2 linked regions of the Oryzias latipes genome follow. The protein of the gene in region 1 purifies or fractionates together with the protein of each later gene. This does not show direct contact. Links are inferred from orthologs where the notes say so. Each region holds a gene or a part of one and is shown in the gene's direction. Other genes may lie near its edges. The genes, in order: cytosolic arginine sensor for mTORC1 subunit 1 and wdr59.

Evidence for each region.
Region 2: the proteins of cytosolic arginine sensor for mTORC1 subunit 1 (region 1) and wdr59 purify together in Homo sapiens (affinity purification with mass spectrometry; 3 studies listed by BioGRID and IntAct, counting the BioPlex papers as one, with this or other methods). This does not show direct contact. The link is inferred for Oryzias latipes from reciprocal best matches to the Homo sapiens genes CASTOR1 and WDR59.

The regions. Positions count from the first base shown.
Region 1 is NC_019867.2:3,164,542-3,175,454, reverse strand, and holds part of cytosolic arginine sensor for mTORC1 subunit 1, read left to right. Parts: intron 1-1,622; coding exon 1,623-1,816; intron 1,817-2,129; coding exon 2,130-2,265; intron 2,266-3,636; coding exon 3,637-3,760; intron 3,761-4,043; coding exon 4,044-4,151; intron 4,152-4,352; coding exon 4,353-4,435; intron 4,436-4,696; coding exon 4,697-4,791; intron 4,792-10,913. UniProt on the Homo sapiens protein: Functions as an intracellular arginine sensor within the amino acid-sensing branch of the TORC1 signaling pathway. As a homodimer or a heterodimer with CASTOR2, binds and inhibits the GATOR subcomplex GATOR2 and thereby mTORC1.
Region 2 is NC_019861.2:37,926,730-37,938,151, reverse strand, and holds the start of wdr59 (GATOR complex protein WDR59), read left to right. Parts: upstream 1-3,627; 5' UTR 3,628-3,741; coding exon 3,742-3,795; intron 3,796-6,729; coding exon 6,730-6,779; intron 6,780-6,889; coding exon 6,890-7,025; intron 7,026-7,262; coding exon 7,263-7,348; intron 7,349-7,423; coding exon 7,424-7,504; intron 7,505-7,591; coding exon 7,592-7,629; intron 7,630-7,705; coding exon 7,706-7,794; intron 7,795-7,996; coding exon 7,997-8,113; intron 8,114-8,191; coding exon 8,192-8,269; intron 8,270-8,425; coding exon 8,426-8,582; intron 8,583-11,422. Other genes in the region: RNA-binding protein NOB1, read right to left, coding at 628-897, 966-1,110, 1,182-1,279, 1,409-1,615, 1,685-1,804, 1,875-1,994, 2,080-2,285, 2,672-2,804 and 1 more. UniProt on the Homo sapiens protein: As a component of the GATOR2 complex, functions as an activator of the amino acid-sensing branch of the mTORC1 signaling pathway. The GATOR2 complex indirectly activates mTORC1 through the inhibition of the GATOR1 subcomplex.

The DNA.
Region 1 (10,913 bases):
TGTTGAAAATGTAATTTTTTCAAACACGATTGTCACCGTGGACCCCAACATTATGTTCCCACTGCTGGTTAAAAAAGAAAAAAAAGAAAACGAAGCGCGCTAAAGCATCACGACACTGACCACAAACAAGAAAAGAAGCTTCGTTTTTTATCCTAAAATGGGAATAAAGGAAGAAAATGGGAAATAGGCTGAGAAATTGCTCTTTATTTATTACATTCACGTCTTAAAAAGTTTAACTTGAAGATGAGTCGTCCTAAATCCCGAGCGTCTGCTCGTCGTTTCTTGGATTTGGCCACAAAACGTCGAGCTTTGTTTTCAGCACTTCCTTCCTCCTCCCGTCCTGCAGGCAGGATGAGTGTGACCCGATTCGCTGAAAGAACAGGATCACAGAAAACGCTGCATCATAACAAAAGTGCCAGTGCTTTCAATTGGCCTCTGAAAACAAAGATAACGGATGAACTGTTCATTTCTGCAACATCCTCACTGGAGCTCTGGTAAAAACCGTGGGTGAAATTCACTGATGTAGTTTCTGCAACATGTATTTTGACATATTTTTCTAAGAATTTTAAACTGTTTTCCAAAAAAATGAGTTTATCTTTTGTGAAAATAGGATTTAAGGAGAACCAAATACAATGTTTATGAAACAGTTTCTCTGCTTCTGGTGATTCATTTTAGAGTTTTTATGGTTTAATAAGTGCAGCAGTGATCTACAGACTGTGCTTTGCACAATTTTCATTTTCTTCACAGGATGACAGTTTTTTTTTTTTAAATTGGTTGTTAAATAAAGGCAATGAAAACCCATAAAGTGACGACATGCAAGTCACTTCCGGTTTGCTCTTTTTTTACCTTGATTCTTTCCTCCAGATTCAGATGTTGAGGCTTGCGTCGCCTGCAGGCGTCGGTCTCCTTTTTCTCCTTCCGAGTTCCTATTTTAGGAGGTGAAAGCTGTGTAGAATGAGAGGCTGTCCTTAAAAGAAATGTGCCAACCAGAAGAGAGGCCCTTTGAAGGAGAAAACAGAAACTACAAAGTTTTCATGGTACAAAGCCATAAACAGCTGTTTAGCCCACAGTTTCAATCTGCCCACTTTTCATTTTTCAGGTCATGAAAAGCATTTTTATAGGATGCAAAATCTGCAGGTTTTGACCCATCATTTTATTAATATCACTAGTTTGAATGAATAACAAACGATCAGAATTATTGTAAAGTATGTAGGAAGAAAAAAGCTTCATTCTGCCATCCAAAGAATTGTATTTGACGTTTAATTTCAATTTGAATTTTTGAGCGTTTTAGAGCCAAAGTGTTCCTCCACTGCCGTGCCTTCACAGCTGACCTTTCTAGGTTTTCTAATCTGTTTTTTTATCTGCGTATTGCTATATTGGTTTGACCTTTGACCTCAGGGAAGCAGTTTTCACCTTCTTTTTCTTTCAATATATCCGCCATCATGAGAAAAATGCTACGAGAACACCAACACAAAACACCAAAAACCCTTTTGATTGGATTTTTTTTTCAGGACCATAAGTCGCCCCCTGCTGGTATTTTAAGTGCATTTTTTTTTAGAATGTAAACCATTCAGATACACGGCACGGGTTTGACTTTGGGCCACTGATGTCTTCTTCCTCAGAGCTGCAGCCCTCAGAGCACCTCCAGGTTGAGAGCTCCACCTGGCTGCCACTCAACGTGGTCTCCAACGGCAACGTCTCCAGCAGCTCCCAGGCGGTCGGCGTGACCAAGATTGCCAAGTCGGTCATCGCTCCCCTGGCCCAACAGCACGTCTCTGTATTCATGCTGTCCACATATCAGACTGACTTCATCCTGGTGAGAGACCTCCTCTTCCTCCTTTTTTTAAAATTAATTCAGAAGACTTTTCCTTTGATGCCTCCAGACGGTCTTTCAGCTGCTGCCAGACAAAGGAATTCACCGTGTTTGCATTTTACATAATTAATTCCCAGCAGAGCTGACAAACACTCCAAAGTTGGTTGATGTATTACATGCAAGAAATGTTAGGTGGGCAAAAATGCATCGCACGCCTGTGTCAGCAATCACTTTAATGATTAAACTCAAGTGTTTTTGGTTTTTTTAAACAGATCTTTTGTAATTAAAATTTTCCTCTCAAATGATTGGGGTACAGGTGAGAGAGAAAGACCTGTCTGTGGTTGTCAGCACCTTAAAGGAAGAATTCAGCATTTACCAGGAGGTGGAGGGAGAGTCCGTCCCCGTGCGTTGCCAGGATGTGACACACAACCTTCAGAAGAACAGCAAAGAAGGTGCACAATGCAGTTCAGATGCATTTTTGGGGAAAAACGTTTGAAGCTGACCACACGTTTTTGGGAAAAAATGTAAACAGAAATCGCAAATACTTATGTAAATTCAAGGAAAGTGCCTGATTGGTTGTACAGCACTGTCAGCCCTTCTCTGTGCCCTCCCTAAACTCCCCCCAAACCAATGTTAAAACTACCAGATTGAGGTTTGATTAAAGCTTGCAAAAAAGTTTGAACCTTTCTAGAAAGAAAAATAAAATAAGTTTTTAAAAGTCTTTCATTTAAAGTGCATGGATGGTTTAAAAGCACACAGTTGAGTAAATATTTATCACTTTGTGTGTTCATAATATTCAGCTTTTTGAGCCAAATTGTGCAGCAAAGGGTTGCACAGAAACAACTGAACTGAGCACATAGACTGGAGCCACTGAGCACGAATCACATGCTTTTATTTTGTTGCAATAGTTGGTTTAAAGGAATTAGGGGAACACTTCTTTTAGACTGGAAGGGAGCAATCTGTGTGTAAAAGGTTGTTAATGGTCTTTCCATCGAAGAATCAGTTATAAAAAATGTGTGCGGACATGGAACTAACTGCTCTTTCCTGCAGGTGTAGTTCGTGTGGTCTCTGTAGAAGTTCCAAAAGCTACAACTGTAGAAAAGAGAATCTGGTGCACAAAGATTGTGTGACTGCTCAATCATTTATTTCTTTTTGGTTGCTGTCAATGTTGTGCAGAAGCCTCCTCAGTGGCTTGATGCCTCTTCTGCAGCTTCCTCAGACCAGATCTGAGCCGGCTGCAGTTTGTCAAGTCATAACACGAAACATGGAAGGATTGCAGTTTTTCTACTTTTTTTCTTCTTTTTTTTTTTTAGATTTCTCCTACTTTTTTTTTTTCTTGCTAAAACTTCCTTATCCAAGTGAGCATGACGAAGTTACTTTGGAAGTTCCAGCATTTCCATATATGATACATTTTATCAGTGGTAGCTGTCTGCATTCAAACATGCATCATCACAGTCTTTGCTTCATGTTTCGTCATCGATTTTCAAAACATTTTTAAAAATAACAAATGGAAAGGTTAGAACATGTATGTTTGCTGTGTTTTCAAACCATGCATTTCTATGTCAGAATCAGCTTTTGTGATTGCATCTAAAAGAGAATGGATTTACATTAAAACACACACAAACTGTTGTATTTCTGGTTAAAAAAAAAAAAAAAGTCGATGACTCCCCTTTAAACCACTTTAATTTACTCCAATATTCTAAAAGATCCTTAAAATTGTCATTTTTAAGCATAAAAATGCTTTTTGATATCCAAAGATATATTTATATTATTTGATGGCGTTTATTTTGAAATGATCTTGTAACTGTCCTTTTCCTTTGCAGCCATCCAACTGACAGTTCACCCGGTGCTGATCCCCCCGAACCAGTTCTGTGTCATGTCTCTGGACCCGGACACACTGCCGTCCATCGCCACCACGCTCATCGACGTCCTCTTTTACTCCAGCAGGTGAGACGCTGCGTCCCCCACAGCCGTGCAGTACCTGTCTGAGCCACAGGATGGCGGAGTGCGACCGTCGCTAAGCCCCAACCCAGATGTGGTTAGTGTGGCGGCAGCAGAAAAAGATGCCGTCATCGAGACGCTTGTCTAAAAGTCTTTGGTGGGAAATAATGCTGCCCTTATTCATCAATTCTAGTGAAAGAAAGATTTTCCACTCATGGATGTGTCACCAAAGCTCTTTAACGGTCACCAAAGAAGGTTTCTGTTTAACAGTCCTCCTCTCCTCCTTTAGTCCGAAAGAAGAATCTCCAGACCAGGAGCTGGACTGCATCAAGTTCTTCTCCTTCTCCCTCATCGATGGATACATCTCCCTGGTGATGGACTCTGAGGCCCAGCGACAGTAAGGCTCTTCACTTTCTCCTGCCTGACGGCAAACTGCTGTGAAGTCCTTCAAAGAGATGAGTCCTCACATAAAAGCGTCTTGGTGGAGTTTTGTCAGGACAAAGAACTAGTTCTCGAAGCGAGTCGGTGTTTCTACCTCTACTATTTCATGATCAATTGTATTTGATTGAAGTGGAGCTTCTCTCTCTCATTCCTCTAGGTTTCCTTCTGATCTTCTGTTCACCAGCTCCTCCGGGGAGCTTTGGAGAATGGTCCGGATCGGAGGACAGCCACTTGGTTTTGGTAAGAAAGTCCTCGTCTTCCACTCTGAGCTCTCTGGGTTTCCACCGACCTGTTGTTGCCTGTAGATGTCTGGACTTTGTTCTGAGGGCCAACCTTCCAGCCTGCATTCTTTGAAACCTTTAGGCCTGCACAATATATCACAAATTTATCAAGCTGTGCAATATCCATATTTGTTTGCCTTATGGATTATTCAAGTAAAGAAAATGGTTTCATTTCAGTTCTTCTGACATCGTTTTCCTTCATTTTGTGTTATCTTTCCAGATGAATGCGGCATCGTCGCCCAGATATCGCAGCCTCTCGCTGACGGCGACATCTCTGCCTATTACATCAGTACCTTCAGCTTCGACCACGTTTTGGTGAGTTTCCATCAAACCGCCACTCCTGTACCTTTGCCGTTCAACAGGAGAAACTCCTTTACACTCACCGCAGGAATTTAAAACCATCTGGATGATTAAGGGAGTGCCAAAAGATAAAACCAAACACACATTTCTTCATGCTTCATCACCGTCTTAATGATTCCATTCCTTTACATCTCAGAACATCGCAGACCCTGAACTCTTTTAAAGCTCTTTTGAAGGCATCTCTTTAATAAGTAGAGCTGTGACGGTGTGGGATTTTTGATGTGATGAACCAGCAGGGGGCGCGGTGTCGCGATTAACCGCCAAACACAAAATCCCCCGGTGGCCGCGTCGCAAATGAATACAATTACAACGCAGTATTCTTTATTAACAAACAACAGTAACAACTCACTACTACCTATCTACCTAATGAACTAACCATATAGGTGTTGTACAATGACTGTGTATGTGTGTCAGCGTGCTGCGTGTGTTGGAGGAAGGAGCGCACACAAGTGTGTTGGGGGTGCGTGTTGATTCTTCTGCAGCGGATCGCTCTCCAGCTGCACGCGAGGCTTCACCTGTGCTCTCTGGTACAGACATCTTCTCAGAATATTATATATTGCCCAGTAATATACCAAACAGCAGACACTTTGTCACCTTTCCAGTAGCCGTGAGCCTGACACCCATGAAGAAGGCGGGGCAGGAGGCTCCGCCTTTGTTTATACGGACACGTAACGTTGCGCTGCACAAAATAGTTTCCAAACAAAACATGTAGTGATGTTTATCGCACTCTAACAGTGCGTGTTCATGTTTGGTGTTACGGAGTGAAGGAGAACAGTAATGAAAAGTTTCCCCCAGAAACCTTTGAAGTCTGAACACATAGGACTAGTAGAAAAAGTGAATTATCAGCAAAGATGAATGTGTTAAATGTGTTGATTATAGTTCCAATCACGCACCATATGCAGAACTAAAAAAAAAAAAAAAATTAAAAAGCAAACATCACCACGGTGATGCGGTTACCGTCACACCCTTATTGTTAAGTGCTAGTTTTTTAGCTTTTAGTTAGCTTTGTTTAGTTGGCTAATTTTTATTTAGTGTTCTTTTTTTTCTCACATCTTGTTGTAGCACTTTGAGGTAATGTTTAATGAAAGCTGCATTATAAATAAATTATTATTATTGTTATCATTCTGTTTTTAACACAATCCAGTCGACATAAAAAAGTAGGTTGCTGGAGTCTACACTGCTTCAGTAAAAGGTCTTTTAATGATTCTTACGTGATGGATGGTTGGTTTCCTTTTTCTGATTGTGGTTTCTGAAGGTGTTCTCCGTCACAACTGGCATCTTCTGCCCACAACGTTGTCTTGAAATGACTCTAATCTGAGGGCCTTACCACTGAAACGCATCGGTTTTAGCTGAAAAAAAAGAGAAGTTTGATCTAATGGAGTGTTGTAGAAAGGCACTTAATGCTATGTAATTATCACTCCAAAATGGAGAATAATGTTGGATTTTAAAGACATAAACTAAACACGGGAAGTAAATAAATCTCTTATTAAGTGTGGATGAAGACCGAGGTTCAGTTTACTGAAATATGTTCAGAGAATAAAATGGATTAAATAGATTAGAATAAAAATAGAATACAAAATGTCATGAAAGCATGTTCAGGATTTCTTGTCAAAGGCCCAAATCAACAATGTTTGTTTTGTTTACTGCTGAAGTTAACCAGGAAGTTGACATAAAAAAGTTTGAGTGTGACATAGTTTCAAGTGACATTATTTGTTGTTTTGCTGACTCTGGTCTGCTGTTTTAAAAATGGGTGGTAATTCAAAACATTTATTTATTTTTTTCGAACATCCAGTAAAAATACACACATTAAGCGACCATTCTGACATATTTATCATAATTTCCGGATTATAAACCGCTATTTTTGTCACACGCTTTCAACCCTGCGGCTTATTTTCAAGTTAAAGTTCCAATCCTACACTGAGGAGGAAGACTTCCATGGTTTTAGTGCACAGAAGGCGCGTGCCGTGCAGACCCGTATAAGTTACTGCTGCTCTCAGTGACTTTTACCGGTATGTTTGTTTAACCAGCCCTGTTAGTGCTGTTACTCCCTTATTGCTGCCGTGTTACTGCCGCATCACAGGCACTGTTTGGAATAGAGCTGTGACGGTGTGTATGGCGTTTCATCTCTGCCATAAAGTAAAAGGGCGTAAAGACAACTGAGCGGGCGTATTCAGGAAGTGATTGAGTGAACCTTACAACCGCGGAGGCGCAATACTACCCGAGCGACCCAGCATTTTACAACTGCAGGCCTGCAATTATAACTGAGCGGGGCTCTCCCTCCTTCTTTTCGCATTCCACCATCCATTTTGGAGGAGCGTGGGCGCTCGCCTGGGCGCGGGTGTTGGCTCGCCTTTGCACTAGTGGTTTGCGTGATGGAATGGGTGAGGTGTTTCACACTAGTTGGTTTTGGGGCATGGGTGTGCGTGCGGGCACTGTCTGTTTTGTGTACATGTTGACTTGTCGACAGGTGGACATTTTTGCAGCAAGCAGGTGTGTTGATAACATTTGAGTGTGTGTGTGGACAGGCCCCGCCCTTTTTGTACTACATTTGAACCGTACCGTAATGATAAACAACCAGTAAACTTGTTGCTTTATGCTGCTTCATGGTCTTACCCCCCCTCCCCCCTATTATCACCCCCTACCCCCCCCCTCTCTCTGACGTCCCTCTCTCTTCTTCCCCTCTTTCCTTTTCCGTCCGGTCCAACACCAAAGATTTTCAAACATGATTGAAATTAATAAAGTTTGGCCTCAATTACAAAAGGGGTTTATTCAGACATACCTTTGGTTTGTCTGAAGATTAATAACCCCTCTTGTTAAAGTAAAATATTTCCAACACAAGAGGCCCTCAGCTCTCATCTGCCTGCCTAGCTGTTGGACAGGACAAGTTAAAAAAACAAAAAAAAACAAATCACTGAGCGGGGATCCTGCGTGGTCAGTTCCTTTTTGCGCCCTCACCAGGATTTACGCTCAGTGTTAAGGGGCCGTTTTTGTCACTTGGGGGCAGTAACCTTTCTGGTTGATCTGATTAGCTAAAATTTACATGTCATGTCCAGCGAGGCAGGACTTTCTTTTAGGGGCTTTAATAGAAAAGACTGTAACGTGGATTAAAAGGATTAAAACGGTAACAAATGCAGTGATTTACACATGAGAAAAACTTGCAGCACAAAAAAACCAGCCGCACTTTCTTACCTTGGTCTTGGGTCGTTGGTTAAGGTTTTAATCCACGTTACATCCGCCTTTTTTTTAAAGCCTCTAACACTAACAAGGGGTGGCGAACAAGTTTGACACAAAGAGCCGACATTTTTAACTGTGATAGTCAAAGAGTCACACCACGCACTGACCTGCCAGAAACACAAACACGCAATTAAAGCCATATTATTTCCCATAACACACTCCTCTCCTTACAATACAACGGCACTGGATTAAACTGCACTGTTTCAGTTAGTTATGGGTGTTTTTTTTTTTGTATTTAACGTTAACACATACCAGTAAAACATGCATGCTGGTGTGTGTTTTAAAAAGGCAGCGAGCGCAAAACTGAGTTGGTTGTGATTTATTTTTCATTTTTTCAGTCATCAATCAGCATCCACAAATCCATCAAAGTCAGCTGGGCTTAATTTCTATCAAACACACCAGCTTCCAGCTACGTCATCGTCAGAGTCCGTCTCGTTGCCGTGCGGCTCCAAAGAACAGTGAAAGCAGACGCGTCAGCCCCAGCTTTAGTTGCAGTCCCAAAGTGTGGCGTAACTCGCCGGCGCTGCGTCCCAGTAAAAGGGGGGAGGATGGACAGCTTTTCACTGTCATCTGCTGGAAGTTGCTGCGCTCAGCCTCGAGTCGATCTTCCAACACAGGCCTTTCCTTTTCCGCGGAAACTCAGCTGCTGCTGCGTCTTCTTGTCTTGTCGGAGTTGGTTTTCCAGAGTCTCACTTGCGAACCATGGATTCATCATTTTAAATTCTCTTGCAGCTGAGGTTTGATAAAGTTAGAAAGATCTTCACAGATTAGGACTTCCGGCCTCAATAACTCTTCTGATAAACGTTCAAATGTGTCAGCAAGTATCTCAATCCTTTTGTATTAACTCAGAGAGTGAACCGCAAATGCATTTCTAAAGTAAAAAGACCTTCTTTTTTTTTTGCCTGTTAATCAGAATTGTTTGCTTCAAGCTGTGAATGCAGAAAGGGCAGCAAGCCAAGGGACCGTCAACAAAGTGCAAACTCTGTGAAACACCATTCTGTAAAAATCAATAATCTCACAAAAAAGAATAAATTTCTATATTTATATGAACTGGTAATGAAGACTCGTCAGTATATTCGTGTCACAATAAATATTTTGTCGGAAGGTCCATCTTTATTTTATCTTGTTGCATATACTTTTTCAAATTTTAATAGATATGAATCATGACTAAAGTTATCAATAGTTATGAAGATACTGAAGCTACTGTCACCAAACCTTCTGGACGGTCTAATCATGAACTTATTGTCATACTAAAATAAAGAATATGTCAATATTTCAATTTGTTTATTTTCAGGAATTTTTCATATTTACAAATGGATCAGATTTGGTCAAAAATCCTCAATAGCTCTGAAGATGTTAGAATTATTTTACATAAACACTATAGAATATTTGGATATTTGAACATTGTTTAAGCTCATTACTTGACCCGTTCAAAAGTTTAGTGCCACACACCGACACACAGAAACTTTTCTTAGTGGTTCTTATCAGTTTGATCTTAAAGTTCCTACATCCCCTCAGTTTGTTCCTCCTTCATTTTCTAAGAACTGTTTTTGGATATTGAATGGTAACGATTTCCCACTGGCTCTGTATAAAAGTTGTGCAGTGTAAAAATCCACAAGGTCATACAGTTTTAAAAGTCTAGATTGATAACATAAATTGTTTATTTGATCAAGATATCCGGCTTTATGTACAACTCTGACGTTTTTGAAGTAGAAAGAGAGGATGTAGTGAGCGCTTAAAATTATTCCCCCAAATTTCTATACAGTAGGTGAAATATGGTAGTATTAAAGAACAGTACAATAAATATCTACTGTTGTATTCTAATATAATTTAGATTTATTTACGATTGAAATACTTATTGAGACTTTAGTTTGTCATCGATAACAACCCCTAAGAATTGGATTTCTGTAACACTTTCAATTAAGATATTATTTATTTCAATTGAGAGCTCTTTATTTGCGTTTCCAAAAAACATCACTTTGGTTTTATCTAGGTTCAAAGATAATATGTTGTAATCCATCCATAATTTTATTTTGTTTAACTCTGTGTTTACCACATTGATAAGTTCCATATGATTATGTGTACAATAGAATATGTTTGTGTCATCAGCAAACAAAGTGAGTTTCATAAGCTTTGAAACATTAAATACATATCATTTATGTAAATATTGAATACCTGGGAGCCAGTTTAGCTCGTGCTGGTTTGCGGCGCCTTCCGTCCGCGGAACCAGGGTTCGAATCCGGGTTGCTCCGTGTTCCCTTCTCTGCTTCTGTGCCGGTCCCAAGCCCGGATAAATTGAGAGGGTTGCATCAGGAAGGGCATCCGGCATAAAACATTGCCAAGTTAACCATGCAACTTATATTCGAAAGAGTGGTTGTTTCGCTGTTGCGACCCCTGATGGGAAAAGCCGAAAGAAAAAGAAGATTTATGTAAATATTGAATAGTAGCGGGCCCAGGATTGATCCTTGTGGGACACCACAACTTATCTCTTTGGTTTCTGATTCATCTTGACAAATTGTTTTCTTCCCGTTAAATAGCTTTTGACCCAAGTTAGCGCTATTCCTCTTATCCCATACATTTCCAGTTTGTCAAGTAGGATGTCATGGTTGAGAGTGTTAAATGCTTTTTTTAAGTCAATGAAAATTCCAGCTGCATATTTCTTTTTGTCCAGAGCATTTGTGATTTCCTCCACAGCATCAATGATAGCTGATAGTTTTCATTTATAAAGTTATATTTGTCAATATTTTTTCTAAAATGATTGAATTGTGGAAGAAGAGAGACAGGTCTATAGTTTGTAAATTGGTGTTTGTCTCCACTCTTATAGATCGGAATCACTTTTGCAA
Region 2 (11,422 bases), on another chromosome or scaffold:
GTCGATGCGTCTGGACGTCCCGGCAGCCACGCCTCTGTCGGCGGAACTGAATGACCGATGGAAAGGATTGTGGGCCAGAATCCCTCCCGGGTCATGTGATGGGTTCCTCTGAACTACAACTGGGTTTGCTTTGATCTCGTGTTCTCATGGGTTCTTACCTTTTACTGTTTCAACCTTTGTTTCATGTTGGCGATCTTTCTCAGACGCCGTGCGAATAACCTCAACCTAAAACATCGACGGATTCAGAAAAACCTTCCGATGGTAAACCGCAGAGGCTCGTGGTCGTGTGACGCCTCTGCAGGTATTTCTCATCTCTGTGGCGTCCCCATCCTGGCAGGATGTGATGCCTTCAGAAATGGGCGGGGCACACGGATGACTGACCACGTCCAGCTGAGTCGCTGGACCGTCACGACTCGGTGGCTAAAGACGGACCTGGTGGACACTCGCTGAACAGACCCGGGTCTGTGACCCGGCTCAGGAGGAAGTGAAGGTTCTGTTACAGATTTTAGCCCCGCCCCCTGTGACCCACACAGCCTGTAATGTCTGAAGTTTATTAGGACACGACGTTACACACAACCCGCTGGACTGCGGAAAGTTCTGGTTCTGCTCAAACGGACTGAACCTCCATCACTTCTTCTTGACAAACTTTTTGCGGGCGGCGTTGGGGTTGGCCCGCCTCCTGCCGCCACCGCACTGACCGTCTCTGATCTGCAGGTTGGCAGCGCGGCTGTAGACGTCGTTCTGGCTAAAGGGGGAGGATCCCGCCACGTAGTCCGGGTCGAAGACGTCGGTCTTCTGCCGGGCCTTCCTGGAGAGGCGCTGCTGGGGGAAGCGCTGGTCCTCCACCAGGTGGGGGTTGTCTCCGTGTTTCCCCCCCTGAGGCAGCGGCAGAGAGTGCTGCGGCGCAAACACAAGCAGGTCACATGACTTCCAACCACATAGGCCCCTCCCACCCCGCCTCTCACCCGCAGTCCTCTGGAGTTCAGAACTTTGGGGTTTCTGGAGAAATGCATCTTGGTGGTTCCGTCATCGTTCAGCGTCACCGCCACCTTCTTCATGGTTCTGTTCCCGCAGTGCGGACAGAACACCTTCGCCATGCTGCTGGTCGTCCTGCAGACAGAGGCCCGCCTCAGTACCCGGCGCCGCCGTCCTCGGTGGGTTTGTGTGGGCGGGGCGCTCACCTGAAGCAGGCGTGACACCTCAGGATGTAGTTCCTCGCCTGTCTGATCACCATCCCGCCGACGGAGAGGACGTGGAGGCCCATCTGGATCAGAACGTTCTGGAAACACAGGTTGGACAGTGTTCTGGAGACCTCATCTGCACTTTACCAGCAGAACCGCGCAGACAGAACCGGAACGCTCATTCAGGAACTCCTTTTTTTAAATTCTCCACCAGAACCAGTACGCACCTGCATGGCGAAGTCGGTGGTCAAACATCCAACTGTGACATCAGCAGGAGCCGTCCAATCAGCAGACTCCATCTTGACTTGTCTGATGTTACTGGGAGTGATCCAGCCCCCGCCGTCAGGCTCCTCCTCCTCTGGTTCGTTCTCTTTATCCTCGTCATCCGACCGGTCTTCAGCTGAAGGGTCTGACCGAGAGGCTCCGCCTTCATCCTGTGAGGAGGACACACCTTACTGGAGGAGGAGTTGGGGGCGTGGCCCCCCGTGGTAACCTTCACTAACCAGTAGGGCCAGCAGCTCGTCGCTGATGATGGGCGTCGGCTCCCTCCAGAACTGAAAGCTGTTGAAGTGCTCTCCGTCCGCCGCCTCGCTCCGTCCGTCATGTGACTCCTCCTCCGGACCCTGAAGGAGCAACACCTCATGCTGACAAAACCCACAAGGCCCCCAGGCGGCGCCACCTGCTGACACTCACCAGTGACGCCAGCAGGTCGTTGTCGAGCGGCGCCACGGGTTCCCTCCAGAACTGGAAGCTGTTGAAGCTCTCGCCGTCTTTGTGGTCGTGAGTCTGTGTGTTTGAAGCTTCTGTCGCCTTCTGAGGAGGAGGGGGAGACAAGCAGACGAGCTCCTGAGGAGATCCAGACGTCTGCGGCGCCGCCGGGGGCCCAAACGCTCCTTACCTTGGAGGGAAAGTGGAAGCCGGGGACGTTGACCGGAGTCTCGGGGTGGCGCGGCGTGCTCTGGATGTTCACCTGCAGCAGCGGCTCCTCCCTCAGGTGCTCCGCCCCCTCGTGCTCCAGCTGCAGCTGGTAGGTCAGAGCCAGAACGCGGATGTCGGTGGCGGACAGACTCGGGTAGTCGCCGGTCTTCTTGGAGAACTCGGTCACTGGAGAACGTCAGACGGGAAAGAATCAACAAACCCAGCCAGCTCAGAAAATGTCCCCCAGCTGAGCAGCAGCCCAACAGCTGTCAATCTGCACCACTGACCAACGGAGCGGTCAGTGGGCGTGGTCAGAGAGGACACCAGAGGTCAGAGGTCATCTGCCTCCTTCATGGCAGATGACCTCTGATAAAATTTTTCATCATGGAGGTGAAAAAATTCAAAGCCTCAAAAATTTCACACTCAGCATTAATCTCCATGACAACGGTCGAAAGGGGCGGGGTCAGTGCCATGTTTTGGTGCGCGTGGTGCGTTCAGGTGCGGTCTGTGTAATGGTTACAGCTGAGTAAAGTGCCATGTTTTGGTGCGCGCGTGGTGCGTTCAGGTGTCACCGTGTCTGACGTGCTCCGGATGCGGCTCCCTGAAGTGCAGCTGGTACGGCAGCACAGCCAGGCTCCTCCGGGTCTCTTTGTCCCGGATCTCGTCCACCACATCCCGCAGCGTGTAGATGTTCGCTCCGATCTCCTGGATCACAGATCAGGGCCTCAGATCCGGACACGCCGATGCCCCCCCACCCCCCACACCCACATTCCGGTCTCGCGGCATCTCCCAAATACCTGCACACCCTCTCACCTGTCCGCGGATCACGTGTTCTCACCTGTAGAGGTGCTCTCTTCAGAAACGCACCGGCGTCAGCGACAACATGCTCCACCAGGGTCGGCGCCATCTTGGTAAACGAGCAGCCACATCAACGACCAATCACAGGGCAGACGGCTGTCACGTGCCTCGAGCTTTCAAGCGCACTGGGAAAGTGAGGTTGGCTTCCACGTGACCGGCTTTGATTACCATGGTGATGCCTTCACTGCCTCTTCGGAGAATTCAGTATTTAAAATCACCGAATTGTTTTGCAATTTCAAATATTGTTCAGCTTTGACGAAAAATTTTAAAATGTTTTTTCAAGTTAAACTGTATTTTTATTTAGAAATAAAAATGTTTTGCAGTTGTGGAAATGTGAAGATTTCCACAGATCTAAGCAAAAACAAAAGGAAATTTCAGGAATTTATTTCTGAGATTGTGTATAATTAGAACGTTAACATTATTCTAGATTGAAGTGAGAAAATTAAAAAAGGTTGATCAGGAAAAAGATTCCTCATCAAGTTTATTTATAGAGCAGTTTAACACAATTAAATCTAAATAAAACTCTGTACATTAAAAGCTTAACAAAATAAAGTCAAATTTAATAAATAAATGAATAAAAACATAAAAGCCAAAATGAACGAAAACATAAAGATTAATTGATTTAACCAAAAAATAAACATTTACTGTTTCAGGTTTTTCACGTGTTTATTAATCCATGCACATCTTTTTAGGGGGAATCCTTAAACCTGATATGCTTGTGTTGTTGGTTTTTTCTACATCCGGCTCCTTCGGGTCACGTGACATTTGTTGACAGGGAAGGAAGATGGCGGCGCGCTGGAGCAGCGAGAATGTGGTGGTGGAGTTCCGGGACGCTCAGGTGTCGCTTTGGTCTTTATCTGACGTTTCTTTGTTTTTCTCTGACTTTAGAACAGATTTGCTGACAATTTTGTCACATTTTATCCGTTTGTTAAAGTAGAAATACGTTTGTCACGTGGTCTGGACTGAACGGCAGGCGGTTTCTTTGAAGCCGCTTTTTTGTGTTTAGTAATTATTCTCTCCTCTACTGCTGGGGGGTATTCCAGAAAGCAGGTTATGCTAGCTCCCACGATAAGTTTGAGGCTAAGGAAGTTGATAACCTCAGCTTTTGGTTCCAGAAATGGAGGTATGTTTCAGGGTAGGTCAAGTTACCATGGCAACTCATGCTCTGAACGTAACCTGGTCTGGAGCAGGTTTAGTTGAAGGTTAGTTTGTTTTCAGAGAGGTGAAGCAGCATGGCGTGTCCATTTGAAGAGGATTTAGTGGATGAAGAAGCTCAGATAATACTTTTTCCACCATGAGAGGGTGATAAGACCACAAATGGATGTTGGAAAGATAAACTTTATACTTTGATCTAACTTCATTATTTGCTTCAGTTAAGATAAATCATTTTTTTTGTTAGAAATTTTTTTGTTAAAAATAACACGTAGTTTTCAGACAGTTATTTTCCTTTCGTTCAAATTAATTCAATTAAGTAGGTGTAACTTTGATGCTGCTGTTAGATCGGCACCGCAAGGGATTGTGGGAAATCATTCCCTTTGCCTGTCTGGACGGATTTGGGTTAAAGTGTGGCTTTTTGACCAAATGTTTTAGTTGTATAGCTGTTTTACTGTGTTTCTTCGTGTTTGGCCGAGCCAATTTGTCCTACTATGCTTACGTCTCTGCACCATGAGTGAGAGTGAAGGAGAGGATGATGAGTTTATTTAGCACCCCTACAGCTAAGTACTGTTATGACAGTGACGGGAAATTCTTTAGTGAGTTTTTGCACTCGGTGCATTTTTTTCCGTTTCTTTTTATTGTTATAAAAATGAGCATATCTGCCGGCTCAAACTTAGACATATGAAAGTTCAAGAAATATAAGTAATTAAGATGGAAAAAAGATTAATGGAGTAATGTGACATTTAGTTAGATAAATACGTAAATTTGAGTTGTATAAACAATTATTGAGTTTGAATAAATTTAACTAAATTATCTTTCAGCCGTGTTACTTTTTTGATGGACTTATAATTTCTATCCGCCGTCATTAAAATCTCAGACTCCGTCTCAAGTGTCGCGCTTTCTTTTTTTTTCTCCACGCGTTTCCATGGTGACTCCAGAAATCGGCGATCTATTGAGAATGTCTTTATGTACCGTGCGTTAACCCAGGGTTACCAAGTCGAGCGTAATTACGCCAACTCATATCCGGTCTTTTGGAACCGACATACCCAGAGTAAGCAAGTTCAGGCGGATTTCAGCCAGAGTTCAGGCTTAAAGTCAGGCTAGTTTAAACATGCTTCCTGGAATACCCCCCTGATCCCAGCAGCTGAGCTGTTCTTGATCCAAAACTTTAGTAGGAAAACACGTTTTCCAGACGATATCAGGAATAAACTAGTCAGCAGACGCTGTTCTTAACAAAATGAAGACCAAATTCTGAAAGTATTAGAGTGGATGGATCGATTCTCTGAAGCTTCTGGACGAAGCGGAAAACTGATGAAGTATTTACTACAGCCCATAAATATCCACACAGCTGTAAGATTGTTGTAAAAAGTCGAATATTAGGCTTTAGTTACTGCAGAGGAAACATGGACTATGTGTAAAGATGTGATAGAATGATGTCAGACAGCATTTGGCTGCAGAGATGTGACTGTTTGGGAGGAACTCTTGAAAGAAAGTAATAGAGTAACTCTTGAAAGAAAGTAATAGAGTAACTCTTGAAAGAAAGTAATAGAGTAACTCTTAAAATAAAGTAATAGAGTAACTCTTTAAAGTAAGTAATAGAGTAACTCTTAAAAGAAAGTAATAGAGTAACTCTTAAAAAAGTAATAGAGTAACTCTTAAAAAGTAATAGAGTAACTCTTAAAAAGTAATAGAGTAACTCTTAAAAGAAAGTAATAGAGTAACTCTTAAAAAAGTAATGAAGTAACTCGTAAAATAAAGTAATAGAGTAACTCATAAAATAAAGTAGTATAGTAACTCATAAAAGTAAGTAATGGAGTAACCCTTAAAATAATGTAATAGAGTAACTCAGTGTTTTTCCACCTTGTTTGAGTCAAGTTACACTTTGTCCTTGATAAAAATCTCACACCAGCATCCAAAAGTGAAAAAGCAGAAACTGTAAAGTATTTCTGATCTTTCATATTCCTAAGTACTCCGTGTTTTATCAGGGCCTGTTCAGATGAACGCTGAGCTGAAATGTTTCTACATCAGTTTCCCACACTAACACTGGAGGAACCGTTCCTGTTCCTACAGGAAGAAAGGCTGAACGAGCAAACATATTTCACAATAAAGCTCCGCTTTGCGGTGAAGAAATTCAGTTTTGTGATTAAAAACATTCAAACAATTTTTGAGACATTTTGTGAACTTTTTCTTCTCCAATAAAAACGGTGCTGCAGAATGATGACATCAGAGAATCCCATTTTCTCAAATCCTGTCCTACATAAATCTACAGAAGTGACTTTTAAAATACTGAACCAGTTTTATCCTTAAAGAAATTCTGAATGTTTGTTTTCTGTGAAAATGAGGCTGAAACTGTTTGGAATTCATCTTTTCATAATCAAAATATTATAGTAGAATGATAAAAATGTAGACTCTATGATCTATGCATTGGTTTACATCCCATAATATTATAAATTGATTTTGATAATATTATAGTTGATTTTCCTGCTGGGGTTTCAGCGTCACATGACAGGAGTGTTGTCCTCATGCGTGTGTGTTTGTTAGTGTGTGCTGTGTAGCTGTGCGTTTAGAGTCTGCACCCCGTCGCCGCGGTAACGGTGCAGCCTGTTCTCTGTTTCAGGCCACAGCCATGTCTGTGGACTGCCTGGGTTCTCACGCTGTTCTGTCCGGGTAAGCCGCCGTCACCTGAACGCATCGTAACCTGAACGCACCGTCACAGCTCAGTTTAGTGGGTCTGATCTAGAATGTTGCATGATGGGAGTTGTTGTTTTGACCTGCAGCCGCCGCTTCCTCTACTTGGTGGATCTGGAGGCGCCGTCGGAACCACCGCGTAAAATCGGGCGCCACAGTAAATGGGACGTGGGGACGGTCCAGTGGAACCCCCACGGCTCGGAGGCCCACATCTTCGCTGCCTCGGTGAGTTCTGCTGTTCAAGGTCACATGATCAGAAACCCAGAGAGCTGAAAATGAGGGAGATGCGCATGTGAAGCAGCAGGTTCTGTTAGAACAAAGGAGCGGAGTGGTTCTGATGGAAGAGCAGAGATTCTGTGTGTCGACCATAAACGAGGCGTTCAGGTTCTCCTGTGTTCATCAGACAAAGCTGTCCACTCCAGACGCCATCTCTGTTGAACCCTGTGTGTGTTTGTGCTCCAGAGTAACCAGCGGGTGGACTTGTACTCCTGGAGGGACGGCTGTGGCGAGGCCCACTCCTCCCTGCAGGGACACACCCGCGTCATCAGGTAGAGCGGTGACGCAGATGCACCTGTCTGCAGGTGAACCGGGTCGGTCTCACTCTGGCCCGTTTGTGTCCTCAGTGATCTGGACTGGTCCTGGTTCGACCCGGAGCTCCTGGTCACCAGCTCTGTGGACACGTACATCTACATCTGGGACACCAGGTCAGTGGGACCCCCCCCCCCCCACACACACACACCTTAATCTGACCCTGACCCCCCCTCCCCCTAATTCTGCCTGCTTCTCTGCAGAGACGCCCGTAAACCCACGGTGGCGCTGTCTGCTGTCGGTGAGAGAATCTGGATGCTTGACCTGAACCGGGTCGGTCTCGGGTCTGTCTCTGAACGGATGTCTGTGTTCTGCAGCCGGGGCGTCTCAGGTGAAGTGGAACCGGAAGAACCAGAACCTGCTGGCCTCCAGCCACGACGGAGATGTTCGGATCTGGGATAAAAGAGTGAGTCTGGCTGAAGGTCCAAACCTTTTGTTTTCCTGCAGCCTGAAAGATGAAGAAAGGGGCGGAGTCTAATGTTCCCTCATCTGCTCATTCAAATCAGAAGGAAATCGCTGAACTTGAGCTAGTTCACCTTTGACCTCGTTAGCGTCTTTTCCCCCCGTGACTCCTGCTGGCTCCTCTTTCTGGTGTCTCCTCTGAACAGAAGCCCAACACGGCGGTGGAGTACGTGGCCGCTCACCTGTCCAAGATCCACGGCCTGGACTGGCATCCGGACGGCGAGTTTGTCTTCGCCACGTCCAGTCAGGACAACTCCGTGAGGGTGAGACCTGCCGCCCGTCCAGACCGGAACCCGTTCTCCTGAGGACACAGAGAGCAATAATGCTGACTTTGTGTGCAGTTCTGGGATTTCCGACAGCCCAGGAAGTACCTGAACATCCTGTCCTGCCAGGTACCGGTGTGGAAAGCCCGCTACACGGTTAGTCCAGAGAACCTCATGAGAGGAACCCAAACACAGGAAGTCCAGGAAAAAGACGCATCTTTTCTGACAGATATCTAAAAATGCGATTAAGAAAAAGAGAAAGGTGTAAAAAAGTTTGAACGAGCTGAATGAGCGGCTTCCCTCCGTTTGCAGCCGTTCTCCAACGGGCTGGTCACCGTGATGGTTCCTCAGCTCCGGAGGGAGAACAGCCTGCTGCTGTGGAGCACGCTCGACCTGAACAGCCCCGTGCACGCCTTCGTCGGACATGACGACGTGGTTCTAGAGTTCCAGTGGAGGCCGCAGAAAGCAGGTGACGCCCTGATGACCCCCCAGCGGCAGACGAGCAGCAACCAAATGTGGTTCTGACTAGGGTTGTGCCGATGGACGATATCATCGTCCATCGTGATGGGTGACTGACATCCCGATGGAGAGACCACCATCGTGATGCCACGCCCCCGCCACGTTGCGCGTCGACACCATAAGCCGCGGTTACATGTACAAAATATCTTGATGGGATCAATGGTCAGATTAGAATCCAACCGTGTAAATGGGCCCAGAAAAATGTTTTCAGAATATAAAAACGTTCACTAAGGTCACACTTTCCGTCGGAATAAATCATTCGCACATGCGCAGTAGGGTTTGAAAACCGGAAGGATATAAATTCCGCCGAGCGGCTTTTTTTTTTTCAAACTTTATTATATACATTGACATGCCAGCTCGGTAATATACGAGACGATCTTCTAAACCTGCTTTTAATAATGTTACGGTTATTATGAAACACCTGTTCGCTCATCATTTGAATTTTAATCCGTGTGGTCAGTGCTTTTTCTGAACGTAGCCAGGATTAGCAGTATGCTAACACGGGCTAACAACATTAGCTTTGGGTGGTGCTGCTTGCTGGCTGCATGTAAACGTGTAAGAATAACATCAGCCTTTATTTAGTCGGGACACGACTGGAAACACAAATCCGCGTGATTTTTTGAATGTTTTCTAAGGACTGAGCGACATTTCTGCTTTGAAGCTCAAACCGCTGTGTGTGCTGACGATCCGAGCTGTGCTCAGACACACACTTTTAGACCCGGTTCTGAGTTCGGTTGCATGTACCCCTAGAGCTGCGGGACGGATCGCAGTCTTAAATCTCCCACACATACCGCTCATGTACCCCCCCCCCCCCCCCTTCCCATCAAACACAAAGCTGTAAGTCCGCGGAGCGGACTACTTCTTTTCTATTTTGTTTGTTACTTTTTTGTTAAAGTCACTTCCCTCAGTTTATACTGGATCATCGCGGATTAGTCATTAGTTGGGAAATAAAATGAAAAAAGCAAACCCTCAAAGCGAACCCTAGTTCTGACAGGCTGGAAGGGCTGCATCACTACGGCTAATGCTAAACACTATCTGCTAATGCTAAACACTACTGCTAATGCTAAACACTACGGCTAACGCTTAACACTACGGCTAATGCTAAACACTACGGCTGACGCTAAACACTACGGCTAACGCTAAACACTACGGCTAACGCTAAACACTACGGCTAACGCTAAACACTACGGCTAACGCTTAACACTACGGCTAACGCTTAACACTACGGCTAAAGCTAAACACTACGGCTAACGCTAAACACTACGGCTAATGCTAAACACTACGGCTAACGCTAAACACTACTGCTAATGCTAAAAACTATTTGCTAACGCTAAACACTACGGCTAACGCTAAACACTACGGCTAATGCTAAACACTACGGCTAACGGTAAACACTACTGCTAATGCTAAAAACTATTTGCTAACGCTAAACACTACTGCTAATGCTAAACACTATCTGCTAACGCTAAACACTATCTGCTAACGCTAAACACTATCTGCTAACGCTAAACACTATCTGCTAACGCTAAACACTATCTGCTAACGCTAAACACTACGGCTAATGCTAAACACTACGGCTAACGGTAAACACTACTGCTAATGCTAAAAACTATTTGCTAACGCTAAACACTACTGCTAATGCTAAACACTATCTGCTAACGCTAAACACTATCTGCTAACGCTAAACACTATCTGCTAACGCTAAACACTATCTGCTAACGCTAAACACTATCTGCTAACGCTAAACACTACGGCTAATGCTAAACACTACGGCTAACGCTAAACACTATCTGCTAATGCTAAACACTACGGCTAGTGCTAAACACTATCTGCTAACGCTAAACACTACGGCTAACGCTAAACACTATCTGCTAACTCTAAACACTACGGCTAACGCTAAACACTACGGCTAACGCTAAACACTACGGCTAATGCTAAACACTACGGCTAACGCTAAACACTATCTGCTAATGCTAAACACTACGGCTAGTGCTAAACACTATCTGCTAACGCTAAACACTACGGCTAACGCTAAACACTATCTGCTAACTCTAAACACTATCTGCTAACGCTAAACACTATCTGCTAATACTAAACACTACGGCTAACGCTAAACACTATCTGCTAACGCTAAACACTATCTGCTAACGCTAAACACTATCTGCTAACGCTAAACACTATCTGCTAACGCTAAACACTACGGCTAACGCTAAACACTATATGCTAATGCTAAACACTACGGCTAGTGCTAAACACTATCTGCTAACGCTAAACACCATCTGCTAACGCTAAACACTACGGCTAACGCTAAACACTACGGCTAACGCTAAACACTACGGCTATCGCTAAACACTACGGCTAACGCTAAACACTACGGCTAATGCTAAACACTACGGCTAACGCTAAATACTACGGCTAACGCTAAACACTATCTGCTAACGCTAAACACTACGGCTAACGCTTAACACTACGGCTAACGCTAAACACTATATGCTAACGCTTAACACTACGGCTAACGCTAAACACTACAGCTAACGCTAAACACTATCTGCTAACGCTAAACACTACGGCTAACGCTAAACACTACGGCTAACGTTAAACACTACGGCTAACGTTAAACACTACGGCTAACTCTAAACACTATCTGCTAACGCTAAACACTACGGCTAACGCTAAACACTACTGCTAATGCTAAAAACTATTTGCTAACGCTAAACACTACGGCTAATGCTAAACACTACGGCTAACGCTAAACACTACAGCTAATGCTAAACACTACGGCTAACGCTA